Alligator mississippiensis: one gene and its partners. The protein of the gene in region 2 purifies or fractionates together with the protein of the main gene of each other region. This does not show direct contact. Links are inferred from orthologs where the notes say so. Each region holds a gene or a part of one and is shown on either strand. Other genes may lie near its edges. The genes, in order: IMMT, DNAJC11 and ARMC1.

Region 1 (9,793 bases), on a different chromosome or scaffold from region 2:
CCACCCCCATCAGGGGCGTCAGATATTTCCAAATTCTTTGGCGGGTATCCTGGTGCAGGCCCAAGCCTGGAGCCTGGGGGGGTGGATGCCCCCGAGTTTCGCCTGCCCTCGGCCATGTGGCCGCAGGAGCAAGCTAGGGAGAAGCTTCTCTTTTCCATAAAATGTGTATTAAGCCTCAACACGTTGGCGGGTACTAAACCACACTGCCAGAAAAAGTTACCCCCAGGGAGGCTTAAGGAAAACTGCCTTCTTGGACCCAGATACATGGCGTTTCCCCTGCCAGGTAAGTATGGCCCAGTCCCATGTGTCGGTCTGGGGGTCTGATGTGGCCGCAGGCCGGGCTCCCTGTGCTGACCCAGCGGCAGGCCGGGCTGGCGCAGCGCTGCGTGGAGGATGGGACCTGTGCGTGCAGCTGGCCCGGCCCTGCGCGCTGCAATCGTCTGTACTTGCACAGTACAAAGTCTAGAGCCCAGTGCATCTCCAGACCTTATCTAATGCTTATACTGCAGGAAGGAAAGTGACTCAGGAAACATGCAGGAAAATGCTACAAATATGCCATGTGCATATTAGGGCCGCGCCTCCCCAGCAGGCAAGTCCCACCCGGCCGGGGCCCCACCCAATTTACCCCTGCTCCTGCCTCTGTGGCACTGTCCCTTGCTGTGGGGACCTCAGTCTAGCCCCGTCCCTTCCCTCCCCCACAGACTGACCTGCTGGGGTGGGGAGCGCACATGCGTGCATGGGGGCACTCAGTCCTCCACCCCATCCTTGGATCGACTCCAAGAGCCTTCAAGATCAACTCAGCTAGATAATCGAGTCCTTGCATAAAGGGCATGAGCACACCTGCAAGTTACCCTAAGGTTGGGTTTCATCACATGCCAACAGCTCTGCAGTAACTGCCCCTGTGTCTCCTCTTTCCTTAGGCTCAGCCCTCTTTCATGCCTGGCTCAGCTGCTGTGGATTCTCTTGCACTTACTATGGACTAAGAGCGCACACATGTAGTTTCCAAGCAGCACCTGATGCAAGGGAATGCCTCACTCTCCTTTCCCCTCACAGAGGCTTGTCGGTGTTTCTGTGCCCTTGGGCTCAAATGAGAGAAGAGCAAGTTTATCCCAAAATGAAGCCGACTAAATGTTATAAACATGGAGCAGCTCAAGGGCATCGTCAACCTGCAAAGAATGACAGTATTGCCAAAAAGAGCACGAGGTTTATTTTCTCCAGGTCTGTAATTATGAAGCAGTTTGTTCTCCCAGTCCCCAATACCTAGCTACCACTCCTGCTCAGACAGGCAGTGCTTTTACTCACCTCTTTTCACTTCTCACCCAGATGCTGCAAACACAAATGCCTGCTGAATCCAGAGTCTGCTGGACCTCGGCCACAGAAGCACCTTCCTTAAATCATAAACAGAGAGAAGTTGGGCTGGAAGGGACCTCCAGGGGTCATCTAGTCCAGTCCAACCCTCTGCCTGAAACAGGATCATCCCTATCCAAACCATTCCATAAATACCATAATCTAAACTTGACATAAGACTACCATCAACCCGGACACAACACAGACCTAGCACCCTAATCTGCCACGGGTAAAGCAGAGGAGCCAAGGCAGCCAACATCTTGTTCCTATGAAATTTTGTTAGTATATAACCAAGAGATTCTGGGTTGAGGGCCACGTCCTGGTTATAGAGGAAGGCAAAACCCCCACAGTCCAGCCCAAACTGAACATGGGGTAAAATTCATTCCTAGACTCAAATGTGGTGATTTGTCTGGCCCTGAGCAAGATGGGCAAAGCCTCCTAGCCAGGAACCTCTGGTTCCTTGCAGGAATATTGGCACACGCATCAACGACCCTGGTCTTAGCTGTAGCCAACATCCAATGTGTCTGAGGAAGGCTTAAACACACTGATGTGTAGCAGAACAGAGAAGGAAGGGGCAGGGGCAACCAGCGAAGCCTAGATGCATGGGAAATACCCACCAACCAGTGCTGCCCAATCGAACACCTCCAGTGATGGAGAGTCCACAACATCCCTGGCCAGTCAGTCTATTCCACTGCCTCCCTGTTCTAATAGCAAAGACTTTTTTTCCAGCCATGCCCCCACTACAGAGGAAGGCACAAAACCACCACAGTCGGTACCAATCTGACCACAGGGTAAAATTCCTTCCTGACCCCAAATGTGGCAATCAGCCTGACCCTAAGCACAGAGGCAAGCCCCCCTAGCCAGGAACCTCCGGTCCTTTGGTCCCAGCAGGAGCACAGGCATACCCCAGTCAAAGTCCTCAGCTTTGGCTGTAGCCAACACGCGACACCTCTGAGTGCTTTTAAGTTTTCCTTCGATACATGCAGCAGGGAGGGGGTGGAAGAATCAGCAAAGCCCAGAAGCATGGGAAATACCCATAGTTCAACACAGGCATCGCTATGCCTAGATCGTCCCTGGCCAGTGGCTGCCCAGACTCTTCTTGAACACCTCCAGCGATGGAGTCTATTCCACCGCCTCGCTAGTCTAGCGGTGAAAACGTCCGCCTGGACATCCAATCTAAAATTGCTTTGCTGCAACATCAAGCTGTTAGTTCACATCCTCCTCTCCGCAGCGAGAGAAAACGTGTGCTCCCTCTTCTCTATGGCAGCCCTTCAAAGATTTGAAGACTGCTATCCTCTCCCCTCTGAAACACCTTTTCCTCAAGCTGAACAGGCGTCGCTCCTCCAGCCCCTCCTCATGTGATATTGCTTTCCAAGCCCTTGACAATGCCCGTTGCCCCCTGCGCACCCTCATCCTCCAAGTGAGAATGACTGCTGCAGCAAAGACCAGAGCCCCCTCGTTATCATTTACGTCACGCAAGCGTCTCGTGCCTCAAACTGAACCCGCACAAGGACATGTGAGGTGCTGCCTGCCCGTTGGAGCCGACCATCCCTCTGCCGTGGCCTTATACCCAGGGCTCAAATTACACTTTGGCTCTCGTGGGGGAGGTGTGCAAACAAAAAAAATGACACTGGTTCATTGATTAACAAGTCCACGTAAGTGAAGGAGCCATGCGATCGGAGACCCCCCAGGCTGTGATTTTCAAATCTTACAGGAGAGCTCTTATGGGAGAGGGGAGGGGGGCTCAGCCCCCATAAATTGCACCCTGGTTGCCAGCAGTGGTGCTTTCACTTCCATGGGGGTAGGCAGCCCCTCATGCCCCCAGCCCCAGGGGGAGCGAGGAAGCCCCTGTCCCTGCTCAACAAGCCCTGACACTGCACTAGGCTGCACTCCCACAGCCCCTGCTTGGCGCCAGCAGTGCGCATGCGTTTTCCCACCGCGCTTTCCCGCATCTGTCGCTTCTGAGCCACGCTCTCATTGGCCACCCCGAAGCGGTTCGCGCGCATGCGTAACCACGCATGCTGGGCGGAGCCCGATTTGCATCCTGCCCGTTCTCCGAACGCTGATTGGCCGCTTCCTCTTGCCACTCACCGCCGGCGGCAGCCGGGGGCGGTGCCTACGCCTGCGCCTGCGCGCTGGGGGTCACGCTGAGGGGGCGGAGACAGCGCAGGCTTCGCGGCGGTTGCCTACCACCGTCCGTCACCCGCCGCGCCCTGCGCCCGGCGAGATGCTGCGAGCGTGCCAGCGCGTGGGGGTCGCGGTAGCCGCGCAGGTGAGGCAAGGCAGGGCAGGGCCGGGCCTGTCGCTGGGAGGTGGCCGCCCTTCCGCCCCCCGGCGGCCCATGGAATGAATCGAGCTTGTGGCTGTGAGACACCGGGGGCGGGATGCGGCGGCGCGTTCTCCAATCGCTGCTCGGCTTTTTCTGACTGGCAGGGGGTCGGCAGGCGTTGATTGGCTGCTGGGCTCGTGCTTGACGCGGGCAGCGAGGCGAACTATGCCGGGCGCATGGGAGGACTGAAGCGACTACAGGCCCTAGCATGCAACGCGCGCGCGCTTTTGCACCCGCGCTGCATGCTGGGGCTTGTAGTCCTGGCGGTGGGGGGCTCTGAGATCAGGATCTGGGAGCAGGAGGCGGCATAAGCACTGCGGGGGGGGCAGAGAGTCCGACCCCACAAGAGCCGAGGGTCACTAAAAATACCAGAGCGGCTGGACTCCTTCATGGCTCTGGAAGGACATGACCTTGCCTGCTTGTGACTTCCTGCCACTTCCGTTCTCCTGCTTCTGCTCCCAGCGCTGCAGACGGACCAGTCACGACCTTGGAGCCGTGAAAAGGCCCCGTGTCTCGGCGTGCACCGACGTCTGCCTCTTTATGTCATAACCTCTGCTGGCCCCAGGGCGCTCGTCTCTTGGGAAACACCAAAGTATCCTATAAATAGCAGAGCTCCTAATGTGCGAGAGCTGCTTCTGTTTGAGGCTGTGAGTTTTTTAAAGCATAGCCTCATGTCCTGTGACTAGCCTTGCCATCTCCATTCCTGAACAGGTACTCCTCGCTGAACGTCGTCCCAGTTAACAGCGTTTCATTATTATGTCGGTAATCTGTTACAGAAAGTACGCATTGAAAGTCGTGCGGTGTTTGGTTGTAACGTTGTTTGGCCGCTGCCTGCTAGTAGGTAACTACTGTGACATGATTGGATTCGCTTAACATCATTTCACTTAAAGTCGCATTTTTCAAGCATGTATCTACGACGTTAAGCGAGGAGTAGCTGTGACTTAATTCTCCAGGAGCCTGACCCCTGCTGCCAGTGGCAGGGTGGGGTCAGGACAGGGACCTGGCTGTTGTGACTGTCACAGAGAATTGTTGTTCCAAAAATTGGCCAACTGAAAATAATTTCTGGAGCTTTGAGCTTGTCTCGCATTGGGAGATTTTAGGAGCTTGGTGCTTTTTCTTTTTAAAGCTGTCTTTTAAACTTGTCCGGGGATCTTAAGCCTGTGTAGATTAGACAAGTGTTTGATTTGAATGTCATGCATCTTTCATTATAGAAGCGCATAAACTGAACTGTCCTGGGGTTTTGCTGCATTCTTCTGTGTACATTAGGGTTTTCCAACCGCAGAGCTCAGCAACGAGCAAAACAACCACTATCGAAGCACGATGGCTTCATAGTTCATGTGGAACCGCTTCGGAGCTGGCCAGCTGTTTTACTGCAGCAGCTCTTTGTTGCTGTATAAGGCTGCAGCGTTCTCCATGCCAAGTCATCTGACAACCTTTAAGGGGCCAGGCTTGTAAGCTGTGGAAAGTTTGAGCTGTGAGGTGGGAATATAGAATGACTCTGAGGCTGCTGGATGTGTTTCAGGAGTCTTAAACACACACACCCTTCCTTTCTGGTCCTGAGGTTTTTGAGTGAATTTTTACCAACTTTGGAAAGTCAGGGTTGAACTGTAGAGCTCAAAAATGGGGCTGTATTCTGGAATGTGGGTGTGTAAATCATCTCAGGGTTGCATGTGGCCTTCCCATTTATTTTGTTACTTTATAAATAAGTAGCTCTTAGAGATGAAGTTTGAAAGGAGATGGCCTCCACCTCCTTGACTTCAGAGGGGGGCTACTGCAGATGCCAGAAGCGCATGACATATTTGTAGCACTTCCCTGAGCGTTTCCTGAGTCACTCTCCTTCCTGGAATATAAATATTAGATAAGGTCTGGAGATGCTTTGGGCTCTAGACATTGTGCTGTGCAAATAAAGACAATTGCTGCCTCACAGAGATAACTGAGAAATAAACAGCTTTTTGTGGGGGGGTTGTTTGTTTTTTGCTTTTGGTACGCTTGCCACAAATTAAGCCCTGTATTTTCCCCAAGAACCACACTAGTCTCCGCCTCCTCCCTGATTTGCTGCTCTGCTCCTACCTCTGATCTGTGTGCCAACACACAGAGGCTCCCCATGGCATTTATGGTACGCAGGTTGGTCACCTCTGCCCCAGAGAATGATGCAGATTGATGGAGCTGTGCTGTCAGTTCAATTCTGTATCAAAAGTCATTTTTGGTATCTTGGCTCCTGTAAGCAGAAATGAAACATTTGTTGTTCTTGACTCACGAAATGACAACAAACAATCAGGAAGAAGCTTTTTGAAGTCTGTGGAGAGACCATCGTGTGTCAATTTAGATTTCCTGTCATTTTACGGCAGTGAAATAGTGGGACACGAGATTAACTAGTGACTTTATGAATTATTAATCTAGACTCGATGTAGTAACTGTTGGTCAACTGGACAAAAGAGCACAAAGCATTTTGTGAAACAATGCCACTGTTACCTGTCCTAGCAAAGGTGTTTTGTTCAAAAGGAGATGAGGAGCAGTCTCTGCTTACCAAAACACATCAGCATTGTTTTAGTAGGGAAGGTTTGCCTGGCTTCCACCTTTTCTTCACCTCTGCTGCATCTTTTAAGGGCAGTCAGTAAAGTCTTGTCCAAGTTAAGACTATGTCAAGTTGTCCCACCAGTGTACTGCGACCAATGGGAGCACTGATAGTGGCTGGTTGCAATAATTTCTACCCTGCAGTTGTCTGGGTCAGCTCTGAGCTGTAACTACTGCTAATACAGTGTTGGAAGAATTGCCGAAAGAACCCAATTCAAGGTAATAGCAGTTCTAAAGCTGTGTAAAAAGAGAGAAACTAGCTTTTCTGCCTGTGTGCAAGATTCTGGAACACTGTTTATCATGAAAATGTACAAACAGGTGTATTTCATTACTATATCTCCTTTGTATCTGGATCTGACTCACTGGGAGGTTGATGTAGGCACATTGTTATCTGTACCTGGTGAGTATGTCTGAATTCCAGCTGCGTGCTACAGGCCAAAGTTGTGAATGTTATGTGTAGACCAACAGTTCTCAGCCAAGGTGTCGCAGCATCCTGGGGTCCATTGAGATCCTTTCAAGGGTGTCACACAATGTTAGCGCTGTTAGATGTGCAAACGTGGTTCACAAGATAAACACAGATTTTCAAATAGGAATCCATAGTGTTAAAAACCTTCTGACCTTTGGTGGTCTTCCTGAGGAATTGCTCTATTCTTATTTCTGTTGTCAAAAAAAAGTGAGTGAACACGAAGGACTGGGGTTTTCTGAATCACGTGGCATCTTTGTAAAAGCAGGGGTGGGCAAAATGCAGCTTGTGTGGCCCCTAAAAAATTTAGAAAATTAATATTTATTTGCCCCTGGCTACCTGTCATGTGGCCCTCGATGGCTTGCCAAAACTCAGTAAGTGGCCCTCTGCCTGAAATAATTGCCCGCCCCGGTATAAAGTGATAAATGGAAAAGCCTCTTGAAGTAGTAACTGCTAAAAGAAATAATGACAAGTATTGTGTTTACAAAGGATCAACACCTGATGGGTTTACTTTCTGATGACTTTAATCATAAATCGTGCTTCCTGACTGCCTCATCATACACCATAAACTTCACTTATGTCTGCAGCCAAGTTATTCTTTATAAAGAAGCTTTGCCCAAGTAAGCAACTGCACTTCCTGTCACTGGGCACATAGATTTCTGTTGCTAATTAAAAGGAGTTGGATGCAGTTTTGGAAAGAATAAGAAATCAGTGCATTGTGTTCCTGATTCATGTCCTAACCTGTCTGAAGAATTATGGGACTAATATCATAATAGAGTAAGGATATCTTAAACCATGAATTTATTTCAAAGTATAAATCATCAAAATAGAAATTCTTTTTCTTGGTTACATTTCTTAGGATGCAAAGCTTGCCTCATGTCTAAACTAAATGGGGAGAGAAAGTGTTTTCCTTTGACCTGCATGCTTCACACAAGTCCTATACTTTTCCATTAGATATTAATTTCTTTGTCTTTTGTTAGAACTGCTAAGACGGAGAGGGTTTTTTTTTCTGATGACTTGGTTGGGCTGGTTTAACTGATCTTTCCCGTTAGCGTTTTCGTATTCAAATGAAATGTATTGGGAATGAGGACTTGACATAATACCATTGCAAGCTTTATTACCTAGCTTATTAAAATTTGAATCTAAAACTCTAATTGTTCATAAAGGGACTGACTTTCAGTATAGCTCTTCTAAGAAGATGGTAGCTTTGGTCCACAATCTAGAGTGTTACTGAACATTTATAGAAATGTTTTTGTCTTTAAAAGCAAATGAAAATCACTTCAAGATTTAGACATTCCTTGTCACTGTTTGCATCTTAAGTTATTGCTGAGTTATGTTGATGCATCAGAATCCTGAAGTGAAATAAGCTAGTCTAGTTGTACCATCCAAAGTGAAGGGCAAAATATAATCAGGCAGCAAAAATGGAGGAGATTCTCTTCCCCGCCCCACCCCAAATCATTTTGGTTTTTAATAGTTTATACTATTGGTAATATAAATCAAAGTTTTTAATTGTAGTTTTTTTTGTTGTTAATTTGAAAGTGATTGTAACGTCATTAGAGTAGACTCTTTTTATTAGGGGAAACTAAATCTTGTTTTGATGTTACTTGTTTTTTTCCACACCTCTTACTGATGCATTTTATATGTTCCCCAGAACATATATTTTTATGAGATTTGAATTAGGTTGAAAGTAGAACATTAAAGACTTTAAAAAAAGTTGCATGCAATATTTGATTCTCGCCTTTCTTTAGAATTGCCGATGTGGTAGATCTTCATTCCGTCCATCACAGCTGTGCCGTGGATATGCAACATCAGGAGAATCGGGGTATGTAGTGTTTCATAGGCAGTATTGACACTTCTGTTTTGTCTAATTCGGGAAGAGTAAGTTAGTTTGCAATTTTCCCGTAGCATGGGAATTAAAATTAGAAATAGTAAAAGTTCATATGCTTTGATCCACCAGGTTTCAGGCAAAGCCACATCACAGTGGTCAGTGGCTGGATGGGAGTTGACCAAGAAGAGTGAGGTGGTTAATCAGCAGTTTTCTGGTTTTGGCTACTCCTGAACTGGTGCCCCAGTATGGACTCTGGTCCTGGAGGAGCAATCATTCAGATGAGATTTAAAACAGATCTTAAACTTCTCTGGCAACTTGATCCCAATTCTGGGTGAAGAACTCTCTTGAAAAGTTGACTCTTAAGAGTCTGTTAGCTGGCTGCTCGTGGCTGTAAATAGCCTGGAAAGTTGCAGCCCCAGATATCTTTCTTAGCTTTATGGCATTGCTCTTTATAAACTACAGACATCAATTTGCTTAAGAACGCTTGCTTCTGTTGTGCCTCCTCTTTCTAAAGCAGATTTTAGGAAATTCAGATTAACGATATTGTGACTGTTTGACTGAATTTCAACTTAGCAACGTCGATTTAGATTTGCTTAGAGAGGCTAGAATTGTTGTGAACATTGAATACCTATAGGCCTTATTTTTTTCAAAAGAGCTAGTTTTCAGAGCTAAACTAACCGTTTAAAATCTATTCAGTTTTAATCTCAGAAGTGATTTGCCATATGCTTGGCTTGATTTTTACCTAAAGAACTCTCAATCTTATTTCTTTTCTCCAGTGTTTCTGCAGGCAAAATCATTGGGGCAAGTGTTTTGGTTGTGGGTGGAGGAGTTGGTGGTACTGTGCTGTATGCTAATTATGATTCACGTTTCCGGGAGAACGTAGAGAAGACCATTCCATACTCTGATAAACTCTTTGAGGTGGCACTTGGTCCTGCCCCATATAGTATACCAACGCCAAAGAAACTGGTAAGTTTGAGGAGTTTTCTTTTTTACTGAACGCTTTTACAAAACCATTTGCCGTGTTTTGCAGACTCCAAATGACACTTAGTTCAGTATATGTTAGACCCTGGACCTATGAAAGCAGAGTACTTTAGAAAAAAATCATTGTATGTTCCTGTTTATCTTTGAAAAAAGGAAGGTACTTTATGGATCTGAAATTAAATAAGTATATAATAAAAGCTGCACCAAAGTAATTGGTAAGTCACTAGAAGAGAATATGAAATAGGAAAATGTTTGTTCCTTATCTTATAAT
Region 2 (9,793 bases):
TCTTCTCCCTGGGCCCACTGGCCTGGCTCCATCTTCCACTAGTACAGGACATCAGGTGTTAGCCCCTCAGTTCAAACCTTCTCGGCTTTGGCCTCCCTACTGTGGCCTTAGCCTTCTACTCTGAGCCCCTGGCCCTCATCTGGCTGCTATAGCCCTATCCTAACTTGTCTCATAGGCCTCTAACCTTAAGCCAGGCCACTTCTTCTCAGACTCTAGTTGGCCTGCTGAGCCCTTGGCCCTGGCAATGCTCTCTCTCTTCTCTAGGCCCCTAGCCCTAATCCCTCTCCAGGCTTTGGCCCTCTCAACTTAAACCTGCTCTATCATCAGTCCTCCACTCTCTGGGTCCTTGGCCGTTACATGACAGCTATGGCCCTCTCTCAGCTGTTTGGACCCCTGCTCCCCAGCTGGGCTGCTTCCGATAACCCAGACTTCTGCTCTCAGGATCCATGACCCCAAGTCAGACTGCTCCCGCTAGCCTTGGCCCTCAGAATCAGCCTGCTCCAGTCCACAGCCCTCTAGGTCCTTGACCCTTAGTACCTGTCAGGCACTCCTCCATGGCCTCCAGACCTCCCTCAATAGCCACATCCCAGACTCTGGCCTAAACTAGAAAATAAAGATAAGCACACTGACTGTAGAACAAAACTCTCACTACCCTGGGTCGATAATTCCCACCTTCAGGCTGTAAGCCCCCTTTAACCTTCTACTTGCACCTTAGGGCAGCCTGGGTGCTGGTCAGTTCCTCTCTCAGCCATCCTGTTGTGGGACTCCTCTCCCTGCTTTCTGCAGGGCCAGAATGAATCCTCTGACTACTAGTGCTGAGCTTATGTGCCCAGGAGAACTGCCCCTTCTAGGCAAGTGACACTAATTAAGAACAAGGGTTGCCCTTGGGCTCAAAGATCAGCCTGCTTGTTGTGGCACAGCTAGCTCCTACTCAGCTGCCTGCTGCAAATTTCCCATTAAGTAACAGAAGCCCCTGGCTCCCTGTTATAGTTATACTTTAGTTTACATATACAACAGCATGGTCCACCTTTTCAAGACCCTGTACATCATCCTTTTACAGCAACTAACGAAGTGAGCTTCAGCTCATGAAAGCTTGCTATACATACATACATGTATGTATTTATGTACGTGCACCTCAGTTAGCTTATAAAGTGCAAATCTACCCTGCTTTCTACTCCATAATCTAGGTTCAGCCCCTACGCTTTACTATTTGTTACTGTGTAAAGGACCCTGAAACATGACCAAAAACCAAAAGGTTTTTAAACATGTCAATAGGAAACACAGATCCAAGGTCACCAAGGAAACCGCAAGCCCCCTTTAGTAATGGGGGCCACCAATGATGTCACTGACGCCTTATAGATTCATAGATGTTAGGGTCGGAAGGGACCTCAATAGATCATCGAGTCCGACCCCCTGCATAGGCAGGAAAGAGTGCTGGGTCTAGATGACCCCAGCTAGATACTCATCTAACCTCCTCTTGAAGACCCCCAGGGTAGGGGAGAGCACCACCTCCCTTGGGAACCCGTTCCAGACCCTGGCCACTCGAACTGTGAAGACGTTCTTCCTAATGTCCAATCTAAATCTGCTCTCTGCTAGCTTGTGGCCATTATTTCTTGTAACCCCCGGGGGCGCCTTGGTGAATAAATACTCACCAATTCCCTTCTGTGCCCCCGTGATGTACTTATAGGCAGCCACAAGGTCGCCTCTCAACCTTCTCTTGCGGAGGCTGAAAAGATCCAGTTTCTCTAGTCTCTCCTCGTAAGGCTTGGTCTGCAGGCCCTTAACCATACGAGTGGCCCTTCTCTGGACCCTCTCCAGGTTATCCGCATCCCTCTTGAATTGCGGCGCCCAGAATTGCACGCAGTACTCCAACTGCGGTCTGACCAGCGCCCGATAGAGGGGAAGTATCACCTCCTTGGACCTATTCGTCATGCATCTGCTGATGCACGATAAAGGGCCATTAGCTTTTTTGATGGTTTCGTCACACTGCCGACTCATGTTCATCTTGGAGTCCACTAGGACTCCAAGATCCCTTTCCACTTCCGTGCTACCCAACAGGTCATTCCCTAGGCTGTAGGTATGCTGGACATTCTTCCTCCCTAGGTGCAGCACTTTGCATTTCTCCTTGTTGAATTGCATTCTGTTGTTTTCTGCCCACTTGTCCAACCTGTCCAGATCTGCTTGCAGCTGTTCCCTGCCCTCCGACGTGTCCACTTCTCCCCATAGCTTTGTGTCATCTGCAAACTTGGACAGAGTACATTTCACTCCCTCGTCCAAGTCACTGATGAAGACATTAAAGAGTATCGGTCCAAGGACCGAGCCCTGCGGGACCCCACTGCCCGCACCCTTCCAGGTCGAAACCGACCCATCCACCACGACTCTCTGGGTGCGACCCTCCAGCCAATTCGCCACCCACCGGACTGTGTAGTCATCCAAGTCACAGCCTCTCAACTTGTTCACCAGTATGGGGTGGGATACCGTATCGAAGGCCTTCCTGAAGTCTAAGTATATGACATCAACCCCTACTCCTGCATTCAGGCGTTTTGTAACCTGGTCATAAAAAGAAACTAGATTGGTCAGGCACAATCTGCCTGCCACGAACCCGTGCTGGTTTCCCCTCAGCATAATTTGTCCTGCCGGGCTCTCATAAATGTGAGCCTTGATAATTTTTTCAAAGACTCTGCCAAGGATGGAGGTAAGACTGACTGGCCTATAGTTGCCCGGGTCCTCCTTCCTCCCCTTCTTGAAAATGGGGACCACGTTGGCCCTTTTCCAGTCCTCCGGGACTTGGCCCGTGCGCCACGAGTGTTCAAATATTCCTGCCAGTGGCTCTGCAATGATGTCGGCCAGTGCCTTCAGCACCCTTGGACAGAGCTCATCCGGGCCTGCCGACTTAAAGGCATCCAGTTCTTCCAAATGACTCTGCACCATTTCAGGGTCTACGCATGGAAGTCTGGCGCCTTGCTGCTGCCTCTCTACAACCCCAGTGAGAGACTTGTCGTGCCCCTCACTTAGGAACACTGAGGCAAAGAACTCGTTGAGGAGTTCAGCCTTGTCCCCCCTGTCCGTCACCAATTGCTTCTGCCCATTTAGTAGAGGTCCTATTCCTCCCTGGGCCTTCCTTTTACTCCCTATATATCTAAAAAACAATTTCTTGTTGTCTTTTACTTGGGTTGCCATCCTCAGCTCCATGGCAGCTTTGGCCCATCTAACTGTCTCCCTACAAGCGCGAGCAGAGGAGGTATATTCATCTTTGGTGATCTCTCCCTGTTTCCACTTTTTATGTGCTCCCCTTTTGTCCCTTAGGCTGCCCTGGATTTCTCTGGTCAGCCAGGGAAGCCTCCTGGCCCCTTTCCCTCTTTTGCCTCGCTCGGGGATCGTCTTGCTTTGTGCCCGAAGGATCGTTTCCTTAAGGCAAAGCCACCCTTCTTGGGCTTCCATCTCTTCAAATCTCCTACTCTGCAGTGCGTCCTTGACTAAATGCCTGAGTTCACTGAAATCAGCTTTCCTAAAGTCTAGCACTTTCACCCTACTAGTTACCTTACCCACTCGCCGTCTTATGGTGAATTCTATTATCAGGTGATCACTGTCCCCCAGATGGCTACCGAACTGGAGGTCCGCTACCATGTCATCTCCCGTTGCCAATACCAGATCCAGTATGGCATTCCCCCTAGTGGGACTGTGTACCTCCTGAGTCAGGTGGAGGTCCTGTACACAGGTTAGAAACCTGCGTCAGCGGTGGGACTTTGCCGTCTGTGATTCCCAGCAGATGTCCGGGTAGTTTAGGTCCCCCATGACTACCGCCTCTTTAGCTTTTATGGTCTCCGAGATTTGCCTCAGGAGCCCTGAATCTCTTTCTTCCCCTTGATGTGGGGGTCTGTAGCAGACCCCTACCACCAAATCCCTTTCTCCTTGCCCCCCATGTAGCCTAACCCACAATCCTTCTATCCTTGGGACAACTAATGACGAAAATGGGGTCAGGAGTAGAGGTCAAAGGTTAATAACTAGCATGCCAAGGGAGAGGAGCCAGGAAACAACAGGAGCAGTTGACCATGTCAGGGCCCTGTGAAATGCCATGACTAGCAATGCTCTTATGCCATCTCTACATGTCACCAAGCAGAACAGTCACCAAACTGCACCTCCAAAATGCAAATCCTCTTTCTCCTTTTGTCCTTCAATTCCCAGATTACCTTGTCCGCATCAAATCGATAGGCATTACCTCCCTTTGGACTTGAAAAGGAAATAAATGCTAATGCTCACTGACAGTTGGCCATTTTGCAGGGAATTTCTATTTTTTAAAAAGGCCTCAGTAAGTCTACTATCTAAAATAAATAGAAAATACCACACATTCCATTAAATGAGGTATCCACACAACTCCCATAGGAAAGAGCGTTTTGGGAAAGAGGCTTTGATCTGTAAGTGAGATCCCCGCAGGCATTGCACTTTCATGCAAGCCAAGGAATGCGTGTTCCCTTCTTAATTCTCTGCTAACCAACCCCTGCCTCCGCGCACACGTTGCCCTGGAGCGTCACGGGCACTTTCAGCTTGGTCTCATTTCCAGATGCCCCCACGTCGTTGTACTTGTCCATGAGAGGCCTGGGATCCGCGGCACCGCACGGCCGCGCCCAAACCCAGCCCCAGCTTCACCTCCCGAGAGGGCAGCGGCGAAGGCTCGGTGCGGGACGCAGCACCACGGAGCGCGGGCCGAGGAGAGCCGACCCGGGCTGGCCGGGCCCCCGCTCCGCCCGCTCCCTCCCGAGCCGGGCCCGCTGCCGGGGGTGGCCGTGGCCCCACAGGGGCACCTCCCGGGCCCTGCCCCTGCCCCTGCCCCACGCGGGTCCCGCGTGCCGGGGGCGGCAAGGCGCGGCAGCCCCCCGGGGGAGCGCGGAGGCGAGAGGGGACGGGACGGGACGAGCCGTGGCCGCGCCTCACCTCCCGCCGCACGTTCAGCAGCGAGTAGTAGTCCTCGTTGTCGGGCGCCTCCTCGCCCAAGGCCGCCGCCATCTTCCCGACCTCTCACCCCGGGCCGAGCAGGAGCGACGCGGGACCGAGCGGGCCACGGCCGAGCCGCCGCCACAGCGCCCCCGGCGGCTCGGGGGAGGCGAGGTGAGCAGGGCGCAGGCGCGCCTGGAGGCCCGGCCCGGGTGCAGGCGAGAGCGGCGGACGCGGCGCGAGGCCTCTCCGGGCTGGTCCCTCGCGGGTGCCGCCGCCACCGCCGCCGCAACCGGGACAGTGCTTGTCACGGCCGCTTCCGCCTTGCTGCGAGCGGGCGCCGCGTCTCCGCCTCCGGCCGGGCCCGGGCTCGGGGGCTGCCCCGCCGCTGCAGGCCTCGCCCGCGGCTGCCTCCCGCCCTGCGCAGCCGAGTTCCCCACCGCCGAGCCCCGCTCCGCGCCCCGCCGCGCGGCTGCGGCTGCGGAGTCCCGTGGTTTCCGCAGCGTCCAAGGCAGATCTTTCCCGGGCTGGTTTGTAGGGCTTTGGCGCAATCGACGTGCTTACAAGAGCACACGTAATGGCCCCGAAATAAGACTCGTGGCCAGATGTGAGGGTGCAGTGTGATGATGACTATCACTCGCATTGGGTCTGACTACTACCGATACTGCAAATCAGCTTCCACATAAGGGGTTTAGGAAAGGTGCCAGGGCAGTTTGGTGTCCACGTTCCCTCCTCCTGTCAGCCAAGGAAGCGCGATGACGGTCTGTTGCTCATTCTGCTTCCTTCATAGCAGAGTCCCAAGCTTGCCTGTCATGGGCCGTATCCTCCGAGGATATTAATTCCAGCCTGACAGACTGTATATGCCGCTTAAGGCAGTCCTTGTAGCAGAGCTTGGGATGGCCAACCTTGCTAACTGCCTTTGTCAGATTCACCGTACAGAACTCTCTTAGGCAGTCGATTGTTGTCCATATGTATGACGTGCCCGACCCAGGTCATTTGCCTCTGTGCTAGCATGGCTTCCACGCTTGGCATGGCTGCCAGCCATAGTACTTCGTTGTTGGTGATTTTGTCAGACCGTTTAATTCCCATTATGCTGCGTAGATGGCCCTATTGCAAGCAGTTAAGTTTTTCGATACAGTCACAATAAAAGGGACAGTTCTCTAAGAAGTATAGGAGACAAGGGAGCAAAACAGCAATGTAAACTTGGCATTTTGTAGACGCTTTGACCCCCCCATCTTGTCCATTGTCTTTTTTGTCAGCAACCGAAAGCTGAGGCAGCTGACTTTAAGCGTGCTGAAAGTTCCTTGTCAATACTGGTATCATCAGTAACTCTGCTACCTAGGAAGCAAAAGGACTTGATGTTGTTTAATTGGCTGCTGTTCAGTTTTATTTTTGGTAGTGATGGAGGTGATAGGTCTATGCCAGGAGATGGTTGGTACAGGACTCTGGTTTTCTTCACGCTAATGGATGCCAAAAAGGGATGCAGCATGGGCAGAGGAATTCAGTAAAAGTTACAGATCATTCTCAGAAAGGGTGACAAATGTTAAGTCATCGGCATACAGTATATCCTACTTTACTTTGTTGGGATTTGCATTTAGCCTTGAATCGGCAGAGGTTTAGAAGTCTGCCATCAAATTGTGTTCTTAGGGTGATACCAGTAGTGATAGTATGTGCAACAACTTCTAGCGCTCCAGCCAAGAACAGAGTAAGTAATGCAGGGGCAAGCACACAGCCCTGTTTGACCCTATGGGCTACAGGAAAGGCAGCAGATGAGTCAGCACCCACTGATACATGGGCCTGCATGTTGTCATGGAAGTAGCATATGAGGTTTATTAGTTTGTCTGGGCAGCCGAACTTTGCAAGAAAGCACCAGAGAGCAGAGCGTTCAACAGAGTCAAATGCCATACTAAAGTTGACAAATGCAATGTACAGGGGCATTTGTTGTTTGGCAACTTTCTACTGTAACTGGCATAGAGTAACTATGTTGGCAGTGCTGCGTGATGAATGAAAACCACACTGGGATTCAGGGAGTACATCAGCGATGGAGAGGAGCAAAATGCCATGATAATTGCCACATTCATGTCTGTCTCCTTTGCACTTGCTTGTAGATTGTTATGATTTTGGTATCTCTGAAATCCTGGGACAAAGCCTCATTTTCCCAGTAAAAAGTAAATGGGTCTAGCAAAGCTTTGTGAGATGTAGGACTACCGTATTTAAAGACTTCACCTGGGATTTCATCAGCTCCAGCTGCCTTTCCATTTGCCATTTCCATAAGTGCATTCTTAGTCTCCTCCAGAGTTGGTGGATCTTCAAGTTCATATTGAACTGGTCTTTGCTTAGTTGGGTCTGTTTGATCATTTGCACTTGACTCGTGATGATTGAAGAGGATCGCAAAATGTTCTTTCCATCTTTCTAATATACTGTGCTCAGTCAGCAGGGTGGTGCCATGAGGGCCAGGATTGGACAGGTATTAGCTCTTCAAGGTCCATAAATGCACTTTAACTCCTGAAAAAAACCACAGGTTTTATTAGTATTAGCAGGAGCTTGTAGTTCTGTTGCTTTGTTTATTCACCAAGTGTCCTCCATCTTCCACAGCTCTTTTTGCACTGCAGATTTTGATTTCTTGAAGGCTTCTATAGCCACAAGAGAGATTGGGGGGGGGGACTGTTCAGTTTAACTCTGTTCATGGCTTCATGGGTCACAAGGAGTGCTTGAATATTGTCATTTGCATCAAAATAGTCCACATTTTGTCGAGTTAGGACACCAAAGACTTTTTTAGCTGCTGATTGCACTGCAGTTTGAAAGGCACCCCACCTTTCATCAACAGTTCTGCTTGCTCTTGCATTGGCACAGTTTGATAGTGTGGCATGCGTGGAAGTTGTTAACTGGGATCTCCCCTCTTCCATGCAAAGTTTTGAAACATCAACACGTTGGTTCAGGTTTGGAGTAACCTTCTGCCTAGGAGTGTGAATCCTGATGTTCAATTGAGTATGAATAAGCTGGTGATCCATACAGCATTCTGCACCTTGCATAGCCCTGGTAATGTAAACATCCCTCAAGTCATTGCAACAAATGATGACGTAGTCTAGAAGGTGCCATCATTTTGACAGAGGGTGCTGCCAAGAATAGAACCACTTTTCTGGCATATTGAAAAAGGTATTTGGAACAGCAAGGTCAAACTCTGTGCAAGGTGTTAGGTGTAATTCTCTGTTTGTGTTTAAAGACCCACATCCGAATTTCCCCATGACTCTGTTCCGAGTGGTGTTGTCATTTCCAATGTGTGCATTAAAATTGCCGAGTAGTAGGATTTTATCATTGTTGGGTATGTTTTGTTTAGAGTGTCACTCAGCTGGTTGTAGAACTGAGTCTTCATTTCTTCGGCAGCAAGTAGTGTTAGGGGGTAGGCACTTATTACTGCCAGAAAGTCATTGTGGGACAGTAGTATCTGCAGTGTCATTAGGCACTCAGATATTAACACAGGCTGCTGTGGTAGTTTATTAGCAATGGAGTTTGCTATTGCAAGTCCTACCCATTGTAGGTTGGTGTTTTGGTCTGCCTTGTAACCTGACCAGTAGAAAGTGTATTTTTTTTCTCTAAGCACGCTGTCAGGTAGTCTAGTCTCAGATAAGGCAGCGATATTTGTTTGACACCTGTGTAGCTCTTTCACTACTAATGCAGTTCTTCTGCAAGCTCAATTTTCCTTTGAGTCAAGTAGTGTACAAACATTCCAGCATCCAATTGTCAGTTTCTGTCCATTTTTGTTATGTTTCTCCCACTTAAAAAGAAGATCCTGCTGATCCTGGGAAACTAGCCAGAAGTTGGTGAGAGGCGAACCTTTTTTATCTCAACTTTTATAGGGGCCTCCCTAAATAGCACTGCCTGGTCGCCTGAGTAAGACCTCATGTTCCCATTGCCAAGCAAGAGTCATGCAACCGTCACACCTAGGCTGCTCATGTGGAAATTGTTGGCTACCGGCTTCCAGCTTCTCAGACCTGTCAGCACAATCTACGAAACTCTCGCCATGAGTCTTTTGGTGAAGGGTTAGTGGATGATGATGGTGAAGTACTGGGAGGAAGGAAACTTGGTACTAGTAAATTATCCACGCAAAATAGTTTAATGTGCAGCCTCTGGTGTGGAATAGCAGGATGCACGCTCTGGGACGCCGCAACCTTTACCCAGCAGAGACGAGGTTCGATAGCTGGAGAGTGCTGCATCTGCCCTGCTCTGCCTGCTAACTCAGCTATGTGGCTCCTGTCATTGTCCAAAAAGGATGCACTGCCAGGCACCTGGAGCTTAGTGCCTGTTGATCCATATTAAGATTCTCCTGTCCATTTGAGCCCTAACCATTCACTTTGCAGCCAATGAAAGGTGTGCATTTAGATTCACCAATCCCAGAACCAGATACTGGATGTTTAGCCCAGATGAAGACCTATAGAAAAGGCAGGTGAGTCCAGGATGAGGCTCTAGGCACGGTTATCACTATTCCACTAGTGTGAGGGTACATTTAGCTGATTATACACAGGGTGTGCCCAAGGAGGTGCCTTCAATACAGGCACTACTCCCTTGCACTAGAGGTCTTAGTAGCACTCCCAAGAGCAGGGGTGGGCAAAATATTGACCAAGGGCTGGATCCAAGCCATCAAGGGATTTTATCTGGCCTCCAGTGGGTCCCTTGGCCACACCCGGTCCAGGCATGGTGAGGGTGAGGACAGCCCGGGCTGTGGGCTATCTAGCTGGTCCTTGCACTCAGCAGGGCTGGGACAGCACAGCAGCCAGACTCCACTTCCCAGCAGCCCAGCGGTAGCAACTCCTTCCAGATGCCACTGCCAATGTTGCTGCCCAGGCATCCGGGGCCATCTGCC
Region 3 (9,793 bases), on a different chromosome or scaffold from region 2:
ACAGAATCAATAAACCTTACTCGCTAAGGAAAGAGCAATTTAATGAAAAACCCTTCAGTGTTTAAGCACTTATGACGAGTCTCTGCTTGACACAGGGTAGGTTTACAAGGTATAACAATTCCTTGAAGCCATACCCAGGCTAGCTTGTATTTTGAAAGCAATTTGGTTCTGTCAGCTACAGGGCTATCCTGCTTCTGGCACCCAAGACAGTTTGATCATCTTTGTACAGAACTGTATGATGCCATAGACATACCCATACTTGTGCACTTTGCTAAGGGAGGTAGATGAACAGAAACCCTGAACTGCTGCTTTGCACTCAAGTACATCTAACAATGGTCTTTTCATTGGCAGTAGAATCACAACTTTATTTCTGTAACTATTTTGTACAAGTTATTATATCACGTAGCAAAGATTGGAAAGTGAAACTTGAATATAACCCCCCCCCAAACAATGCTCCTACCTCCCCCAAAACAGCAAAATACCCCACCAACATTCTCAGTGATTTTAGTAATGATTTTGGAGATTACTACCACCACAGAATGGTTTCAAGCTAGTGATCTATATGTGAAAGTATTCATGTCCTGTTTGTCTTCAGTCTCTCTTGAGTTACCACATTTCTACATTAAAATGTTATTTTCCAGATCAAATTAAAATCAGTGGGGGGGATATCAATTTTTATAGAGAATCATAGAGAAGTAGGGCTGCAAGGGACCTCCAGAGGTCATCTCATCCAAACATCCCTATCCCAACCATTCCATACAAACCATAATCTAAACTCTACATAAAAGACATAAGAATACATGCTCAAGAGATCCCGGGTAGAGGGCCACATGACCCGCTACGGAGGAAGACAATGCCCCCACAGTCCATACCAACCTAACCACACAGTAAAATTCCTCCCTGACCCCAAATATGGCAATTCGTCTGACCCTGAGCAGAAGGGCAAGATCCTCTAGCCAGGAAGCTTCAGCAGGAGCATTGGCACATCCCAGTCAAAGTACCCACACTTGGTTGTAGCCCACACCCAATCGATGCCTTTGGGAAGGCTTAAAAATACCTGGACATGTATAGCAGAAATTGGAAGGGGGCAAGCAGCAAAGCCCAGGAGCATGGGAAATACCTGTAGAAGAACATAGACACAGCTACATTTTGATTTAATAAAAGCTAGTTTTATCTTTTATAAAGATAAAATTTATAAAAGTTTATCTTTATAAAAGATAAAAAAGACACCACATCTCGTCCACCCAAATAAACTGCTGGCTCTGCCAGGCAAGAAAGAGGAGGTGATGCCCATGTGGGAGGGTTGATGCTGGGCTTTGCCTCCTCTCAAGGGGAGGGGGGGCACCACACTTCCCTGCACCTTGCCAGGCAATGACATGAGCCCCGAGCACGCGCGGCCTCGGGGCCCTGAAGGGGACCAAAGGGGCGGGGTCCCGGCCAAGGCCCACGGCGGCCTGTACCTCGGGCTGCGCCCTCTCAGCCTGGGCTCGGCTCCCTCAGAACCGCTCCCGCTCGCCCGGGCCGCAAGCCTGGGGCTGGGGTTGCTCCGCAACGCGGCGCGGCCTCCAGCCCGCCCGCCCGCCCCCCCCCGGACCCAGCAGGCGCTGGAGGCCGAACAGGACAGGGCAGGGCGCGGCAGCCCCCCGCGTGCGAGTTGTCGCTGGGCCCTGAGCTCACCCGCCGTGCAGCCGGGGCCTCCTCCGCTCGCCGGCTGCCCAGACCCGGCTCGCAGTGCAAGCCGCTCCAGCAGCGCAACGGCCAATCAGCGCCGCGCTTGAGAGAGGCGGGACTTAAACTCTCCCTGCCCCTCGCCCCAGTGCCAGAGCCGGGCGACTTACCCGACAGCCCCCGGGCGAGTTGCTCTCCCCTTCCTCACTGGGGGCGGGGCCAACCGTGCTCCCTTGTCACTGAAGCGGGCAAGCCAAGGTTCTGTCACGTGACCAGAGCCCTAGTGGAGAGACCCGATTGGTCAGTTCAGCAGTGATTAGTGTGACATCATTGCTTCATCTCTTTGGCAGTAGGGTTTGTTGGCACACGCGCAGGTGACGGGCAGATTCCCTGGTGGGGCTGCCTGGCACCATAGCTGAGGCAGGCAGACAAGTGCAGAGATGTGGAAGTGGGAGGGTTGCCCGGAGCCCTGCCCCCCTGCCCAGTCTCTGACTTTCCTTAAACTGGGAAATAAAAGGCTGAGTCTCCAGGTCCCCTGGTTGGAGGGAAGACTTGCAAAAGCTGTGGTGAGAGTAACTGGGTATGTCTACACATGCATTTATACCAGCTTAGATTTACTGCACAGCAAGCAGCAATAGGCCAGCATCTACACATGTAGGTGTTAAAGTGTATTAACACGTGTGTGGATTACCTTGGGACTAAAGTTAGCCCCAAGTCAGTCCACACACACAGTGTTACTGTGTAGTATGGTATCTATATGTGCATTACTGCGCAGTAACTAAATGGGTATAAATTGTATACCTGCATAATGCAGGTATCAAATTTATGCTCAAGTCAGCATATGGCACCATATTTACTGCACAGTAAATGTGGTAGGTGCACCCACTGAGAACTTCACAGAGCCTGAACTCCTCAAAAAGGGCCTATTCTATTTTCTTTAGTGGGGGTTAACCGAAAGAGAAGGCAGGGTAGTTTACCCCTTCTGGACTGTCAAAGGTAAGTACCATAAACTTTCATAGGCAGAGAGCTTCCTACATCAAGTGCTATTCCTTCTGAAGTAAGATCTCTGACTACCAAAACTTATGCTATACATTTCTGATGTAATTAACCCATAAGGAGCAAATCTACCCTGCCCTCTGCCTGACTTCAAACTTAACTGGACCAACTACCTCTTATTAAAAGAAGTGTCACTGATGACACCTTTTTGTCAATATCATTAATTATTTCCTTTCTCCTTGTATACAAGAAAGTATAATCTTATTAAACGCTCTCAAATATTACAACAATACGTATGTTTGAATAGGTAGTGTTTAAGAGTGATGTTGCAGCTGTGACGGTCCAGAAATTATGCCAGAGGCAAGAATGTCTTATGGTAATGTATTTTATTAGGCAACCTGTGTTGCCGAGATACAGTTAGACAAGCTTTCAAATGCAAAGCATTCTTTGTCTGAGGGCATCACTGTAAGACAAGGGTCAGCAATGTTTTTTGAGCAAAAAACCTGCAACCTCAACTTGTAAGATGTTGGTATGCCAGGGGCAGGCAGTGGGGGAGCTGCACGGGGCTCGATCCTTGTTGTGGCAGCGCAGCCCTAGCCCCCTCCCCACTGTCTGCCCTGAGGTGCACATGCCAAGCAAAATGCCCTTGCGTGCCACACTCTGGCCCCGATGTTGGGGGTTGCCTACCCCTGCTGTCAGAAATTCTTGCCTTTTACATCTGAATAGGTGAGTCGTAAACAGCACAAGACGCTTGCATTCTCTCAAGGTAGAGGCATTCGCATTCCAAACTTTGCAAAACACTGGATTTAAAGAATGTGTTTAAATTTGAAGTTATATTTAAATGCTGATAATGCAATTTTTGTTATGAAACCCAGGTTTCCAGAAATAATAAAGCTCCAATACAATGCAAAATGTTGCTTTTTGGCAGGCGAGGTGGGGTGTAGTTCACCTGCAACAGCTGTAACTGAACCCCCCCCCCCCCGAAAGTAGAAGAATTCCTCCAAAAGGTAATTTTTTTATACTAATAGAAATGCAAAAGACACAAAGGATCAAACAAGTAAATACAATTTCTAATCTGAAAAATAATCACCATTTTGAGTTGACAGTGAACTGTAAGAAAAACAGGCACATTTACAAATAAAAATAAGTTCTGCTAAACTTATTCTGCATTTCACTTGCAAAGCACGCAGATTCCACGCAGTTACCACATGTCTAGGGGCGTGCGTGACCAGTGTAGTGCCCTCCTGTTAGTGTATCCCTACCTCTGAAAAAAGGGTTTGTCAGCTTCCTATGAAACTGGACTGACACCAAGACTTAGATCTTCCCCAAGGAGAAGCAGCTTTATGGCCCTCATCACCTCAAAGCAAAGGAGTCAGATCCTTCCGGCATGCTCGGTAGTGGCAGGCTATGATGAAACCTCCCTTTTCCCACTATACTCTTCACTCTCCATTTTTTCAGCCTTGCCTGTGCAGATCAGCAGCCACCGGGGCCCACAGCAAAAAAAGATCCTACCTGTGCGATGTTACGTACTGATGTGAAACCCAGAAGGCTGCCTACAGATCCCAGCATGCAACGGCTCAATAAACGACTACAGACTGCAGATCCCAGCATGCAGTGCTCCAATAAGCGCTCAGGGAGTGCAGATCCTAGCATGCAATGACCCAGCCGTGGACAGAGCTCGAAAGGCAAAGCCCAAGCCGCCCAGAGCTGGAAGAGAGCAGCGCTCCGTTCGCGGTTTCCCGAGAGACCACATGGCCCGCCGCGCAAGTCCCCCGGCGCTGTGCATTCCGGGACATCTAGTTCGCTCCTCCCCGTTATTAGCATAGAGCCTACTCTACCCACAACGCCCTGGGGCGGGGACAGGAGAGAGGTCACATGGGGGTGGCCAATGAGCGCGCGGCGTAATAAGGCGGGATGCGAATGGCTGCTCGTTTCAGCCAATCAGGGAGCGGGGGGTGCGGAGGTGGCGGGGTTGGCGAGAGCCTCAGCGGGGGTTTTATGTAGCGAAGGGCCCGGCCCTCTCGTCCTTCCGCTGCTCGCCCCGGGCCTCCCGCTCGCAGGCCTCGCGTGATGGGCGCGCCGCGCTGAGCCGCGGAGATCTCGGTGCCGCGGTACGTGGCCGGCCCGGGCTTCGCCTGCCTGCGGGAGGGCGGGAGTGGTGCCCGCGGGGAAGCTGCTCCGGTTTGTGCCGCGCTGTGTTGGGGCCGGGCCGGCAGCCTGTGACCCCTGTCCCCCGTCTGTGTAAAGTTGTGAAGGCACCAGGGGCTGCAGGCGCCGCTGGGCCCCAGTCTGCCCACACTGAAGTCTCTGGGCAGCTCTCGAGCCGGGGAGTCAACCTCTTCGGACAGATGAGCAGTGCGGGGCTGGGCTAGGGTCAGTTCCCATGGCCTGGTGCCGCCTGTGGGCACCCCTTGCCCTGGCGGCTCTGGCCACGGAGTGACCCCACTGTGGGCAGGCCTAGACTTCTGTGCAGGGGGGTGCCTGTGGCGAGGTGCATTCTGCTGTAGAGTGCGACCCCTGGTTTTCTCCTGGTAAAAAAAAGCTTGAAGCATCAGTGACGCTCCAGGGCTGTGTTATGAGGTTTTAAGATTGAAGCAAAAACAAATGAAACATCATTGGGATGATCTAAAAGTCAATCTGCTGGGCTGTGAGAGAGGGGGTTTGACACCAGGGGTAGGTGGCACAGCAGACTTGCAGAACAGGGGATAGTTTGGCAGGTGGAGCATGAAGGCTGTTAAAAGGAAAAGAGGATTTTTAACTTCTGTGGAGTGAACAGTTTAGAAAGGATCGGGCAGTTTATAATGAGCCGTGGAATCAGTTGGCTCCCTTGGCCCTGCCTGACTGCAAATGTTGCTCTGCTGTTATGTGGTTAGTTTTAAATTTTGGGTGGCCCAGGAATCAAAGGAGGTGCAAGCATACCAGTGCAGCTCCTTTGGATCCATCCCTGGATCATGCGCCAGCAAGTGGGGTAGTATCATCTGGCTTGTGGGACTCCTTTCAGGTCTGGAAGTTTGGTGGCAGGAGAGTGGTGGCAGCATTAATTGCAGTGACTTGGGAAACAATTAACACTGCTAATGCTCCCCCGCCCCCAAATTTCTGGACCTGTGTGGAGCCCTGTGGGCCAGATGACATGGTTTGTTGGGCTGGATTCATCCCACGGGCTGGAGGCTGAGCGTCTCTGCTCTAGATTGTTCTCTTTCTGGTGTTTTGCCTTTTACAGAATAGAAATCATAATGTTTGCCTGTTTCTTCAGGTTTTATTTTTGAAAATTGTGCTTAAAATGCTTTGAAACTACAAAGTAATGACTGCATGAAACTTGTAGCTTATTTGATCTATATTAATTTTCTTGTCATGAAAAATTAACGTTTAAGTTGTTTGTGTTGTAAAGAAACATTAGTGACTTGAGTAATCACCACCAAACTGACAGTCACGTTACAGGAAAAATTGTACCTACAAAGTTATGATACAAAATAGAGTTCTGCCATTCTCGCTCTTGTCTCTTTGTTAGTGTCTGTTTTCTATATCTGGTATCTCTACATGCACGATCAGTTTCTTACTAAAAAAAGTTAAGAGCTTTAACAGAAAAACAAGAGAATTAACTTTAAAATGCTCTGAACAGCATGCTGCCTTTTAAATCAAAATGGAAAAGTAAAATTAACAGTGTCTTTTTATTCATACTCATGTGCATAAAAAATACATGAGTTTGGTGCTGAGAAGATCAGGACCATAAATTGCACTGAGGGTTCAGTCTCAGCAAAACAATAAAGGCTCTTACCTTTTGATCTCACTTTTCACATTAGACCCACTGTTGAGGGGTATCAGGAGTTTCTGGCTATGATGGGAAGTTTTATTTAAATAAACTTGTTAGCTTAACAGCATCAGACTAATCGTCTTCATTTGAAACTGAGTTGGTTCTGCTTGACTCTAGTAGAAGCAAGTTGGGCAATGCTTTTTAAGAGGACCAGGAGCAGTTGAATTGGTGTTGGATTATAGAATTTTGATATGTAATTTCTGAATAAGATAAAACAGTGGAGATGCCTGATGGAAAGGTAAAAGTTTTGGCCTGAGATTTCTTGTTGACAGTAAAAATGTGTTACAGGATCAGATAATGTGTGTTTCTTTACAAATGATCCTTTTTATAGGATATAGACTTAGAAATGTACATTTCTATAGAGCAGTGTAAGCGACAGTGTAGTTGTAACAAAACAACTGATTCTTCACCTGTAAGTATCAATACTATAAACAGTATTTCACTTGAAGCTTGACAGGCCTAAAATGATATGTGGGAAACAAATCAGTTAAGCAAATAACTCGATATGTGTGAATTCTAAAATTTCTGTCTTAACAGTGTATAGGGACCTTAAGAAGAATTCTGTTTGCGTTTACACTTCTAAGAACAAATTGGGGCATGTTGTTCTGGATTGGCTATAGTTTAATCAATGACTTGTTAACAATGATTTTTTTTATTAATGCACTTTTTTTTAACAGGTGTTTCTGTGTATGATACAGAAAAATGAACTCCACTATGAACTCCACTATGAGCGAGGAGCCTGATGCTTTAGCAGTAGTTAACCAGTTACGAGATCTAGCTGCTGACCCATTAAATAGACGAGCTATTGTTCAGGATCAGGGATGTCTGCCTGGCCTTATTTTGTTCCTGGACCACCCCAACCCTCCAGTTGTTCATTCAGCTTTGCTAGTAAGTAATCTGATTTGATCAGTAGGGACTAAGGGTTGTGTTAATGGTGTGTTACTTGCATCTCTTTCTTTTTATGTATTTAAAAAGACAAATATTTGCTGTAACAAATTTTATGTGAGATTACTCTTGCTACTGTATTTTGCTTCATGATAAGTGCTATAAAAGATAATTTGCAGCAACATACTATGTGGAGATAATTCATGGAGTTTAGAAAGAAACAACTGATTATAGATAAAGCAAAGTTGTTGTGTTTTTTCCCCCCCAGAACATGACCGTTTAATTTTGGGTTAAAAAGAGAAAAGCCAAAATTCAGCTTGTTGCATACAGATGTAGGAATGCATTTTGTGATGATGGTGCATTTGTGGTTCTGGATGGGTCATGTAAGCATTTTGAATCATAGAAAATATGGATGCAGATGATCTCAGGAGGTTTAGTCCATACCTGGGCCTCAAGGCAGGATCAGCTATCCCTAAACTATCCCTGGTGCACACTTTTTTTCTAAGTTGCTCTTAAGTGCCTTCAGTGATGCATTTTGAGAGCAGGTGAACAATCTTGTGTCAAGATGGCAGGGGATTGAGGTCTGTTATGGTTGGTATGGGAGAGGTGTGTGGAATTTGAGCAGCAGAAAAGCAAATTTATATTAAATATCAGATAAAGCTTCCTAACTGTAAAAATGAGGTAACAATGTTGTCTAGGGAAGTTGTGGAATCTCCTTTGTTGGAATTTTTTAAGAAGAGACTGGGTAGGAACCTGACTGACAATTTAGGAGGAGTGAATCCTACATCTGTAGTGTAGTCTGGACTAGATAACCCTTAAGGTCCCCTTGAAATTTATGATTTCACAGATTTTTCTCAGTCTCTCTATTCTAGTGCTTAACTTAAAACTGACTGTTTTAAAGTACTTCTCTGTGTCTAACTGAAATTTTCCTTGCTGCAATTTAAACTCTGTAAAGTACTTCTCCCATTCCCAGTGAACACGGAGAACAGTTTACAGATCTCTTCGCTGCATTCATCTCTGACATTGAAACCTGTTGTTATGCTTTCTCTCAGTCTTCCTGTTTGAAGATTAAACAAACCCACTCTATATTTCATTGTAACTAGGGGCCACTGGAATTCAGGCTCTGGTGGGTGGAAACGCGCCCTCTCTGCAAGTTTATCGGAGCCAATTTCAAGCTTTTCAGAGTGGACTCTCCCCTGCCTCTACCACTGAACAGCAACATGGAGGCTATTCTTTAGCTGTTTTAAGGAAGTAAAGCTCACCACTTATTAAACAATACCTTTTAAGTAAGGGGAGGGGGAAATTCCCCTCCACTTCCAGGCAGCAGCAAAGCAAAGCAGGTCTTGGGAGAGCTGTGCCAGGAGGGGGGGGTTTTACCCTGTGCCTAAAACTGGACTCAGCTTTTTGGCTGAAGCCTTTCCAGTACTGTGTCTTGCACTCAGCAGTCCTGTTTACACATGCCAAAAATGTAGTTTTCTGCTTTCTGTCCCCAGCAGTAGGACGTTGTTGGCTTATATGTAGTTTGTGTTCTGTTATAGCTCCCAGATCTCTTCAGAAGCGCTGCTGATAGCAAGTTAATCAACTAGAATTCATATACCATATATAGACAAATTCACCAAACTCTTTTGTTTCTCATCTTACTTCTCTCCACCCTTTAAAGAGTCAGATGAACAAAGAGAAGCCAAGCTATCAGGTTTTGATTTTTTTCTTTAAGACATTAAAAATCAGAAGTGTGCCTAACCACTTTTCTTAAATTTTAGTAAGACTTTGAAAAATAGGAACTTGAAGTTAGGTTCCTGGATTCATATACAGGCTGTCAAAAAAGCCTTAAATCAGTAATGTACTTCAGTATTTTTTTAGGGCACACGTGAACAGTTCCATTGACTTCAGTGAAATAAATTGTGCACTTGTGTTTAATTACATGCTCAAGTATTTTGCTAAAAGAAAACTGATCCAAAGTTTATGACCTTTAACAAGTCTTTCCTTCAGTGGGCTCTGGATCCAGCTCTTTAATCACCTGATTTTCAAAAGAATTGACTCAGCAGCCAGAAACTTACTGAAATAAATAGGAGCTCCAGGTGTTTGGAACTTTTTATTTATTTATTTGTTTAGGCTTTCAGATACCTTGGTTTTAATCTAATTTGTGATAGAAATTATCATCATCAGTAAGGGACTAACTGATCAAAAAATCTGTTCCTTTGAATCAAATGTTGGTGAAGGTGTTATTTAAATTAAAACTCTTTGGTGTCAAACAATAAGCAATACAGTTGATAATCTAGTGTTCTGCCAATAGCAAAGTGTATGTTTTTAATATAAGTCTTTAATTCCAATTGCAATCTTTGCTGTCTGGTGGAGATTCACTCATACTAAATTAGACTTAAGAAAAAATGTTAGTGTTGGAAGGACAAACGTTGTCAGCAAAGGAAAGCGGTT

What was found.
Region 1: the proteins of DNAJC11 (region 2) and IMMT purify together in Homo sapiens (co-immunoprecipitation; 3 studies listed by BioGRID and IntAct, with this or other methods). This does not show direct contact. The link is inferred for Alligator mississippiensis from reciprocal best matches to the Homo sapiens genes DNAJC11 and IMMT.
Region 3: the proteins of DNAJC11 (region 2) and ARMC1 purify together in Homo sapiens (affinity purification with mass spectrometry; 4 studies listed by BioGRID and IntAct, counting the BioPlex papers as one, with this or other methods). This does not show direct contact. The link is inferred for Alligator mississippiensis from reciprocal best matches to the Homo sapiens genes DNAJC11 and ARMC1.

Annotation. Positions count from the first base shown.
Region 1 is NC_081825.1:14,762,259-14,772,051, forward strand, and holds the start of IMMT (MICOS complex subunit MIC60), read left to right. Parts: upstream 1-3,485; 5' UTR 3,486-3,574; coding exon 3,575-3,619; intron 3,620-8,461; coding exon 8,462-8,535; intron 8,536-9,317; coding exon 9,318-9,507; intron 9,508-9,793. UniProt on the Homo sapiens protein: Component of the MICOS complex, a large protein complex of the mitochondrial inner membrane that plays crucial roles in the maintenance of crista junctions, inner membrane architecture, and formation of contact sites to the outer membrane.
Region 2 is NC_081836.1:18,707,728-18,717,520, forward strand, and holds the start of DNAJC11 (dnaJ homolog subfamily C member 11), read right to left. Parts: upstream 5,041-9,793; 5' UTR 5,005-5,040; coding exon 4,933-5,004; intron 1-4,932.
Region 3 is NC_081826.1:64,687,559-64,697,351, forward strand, and holds the start of ARMC1 (armadillo repeat-containing protein 1), read left to right. Parts: upstream 1-4,617; 5' UTR 4,618-4,775; intron 4,776-7,152; 5' UTR 7,153-7,177; coding exon 7,178-7,363; intron 7,364-9,793.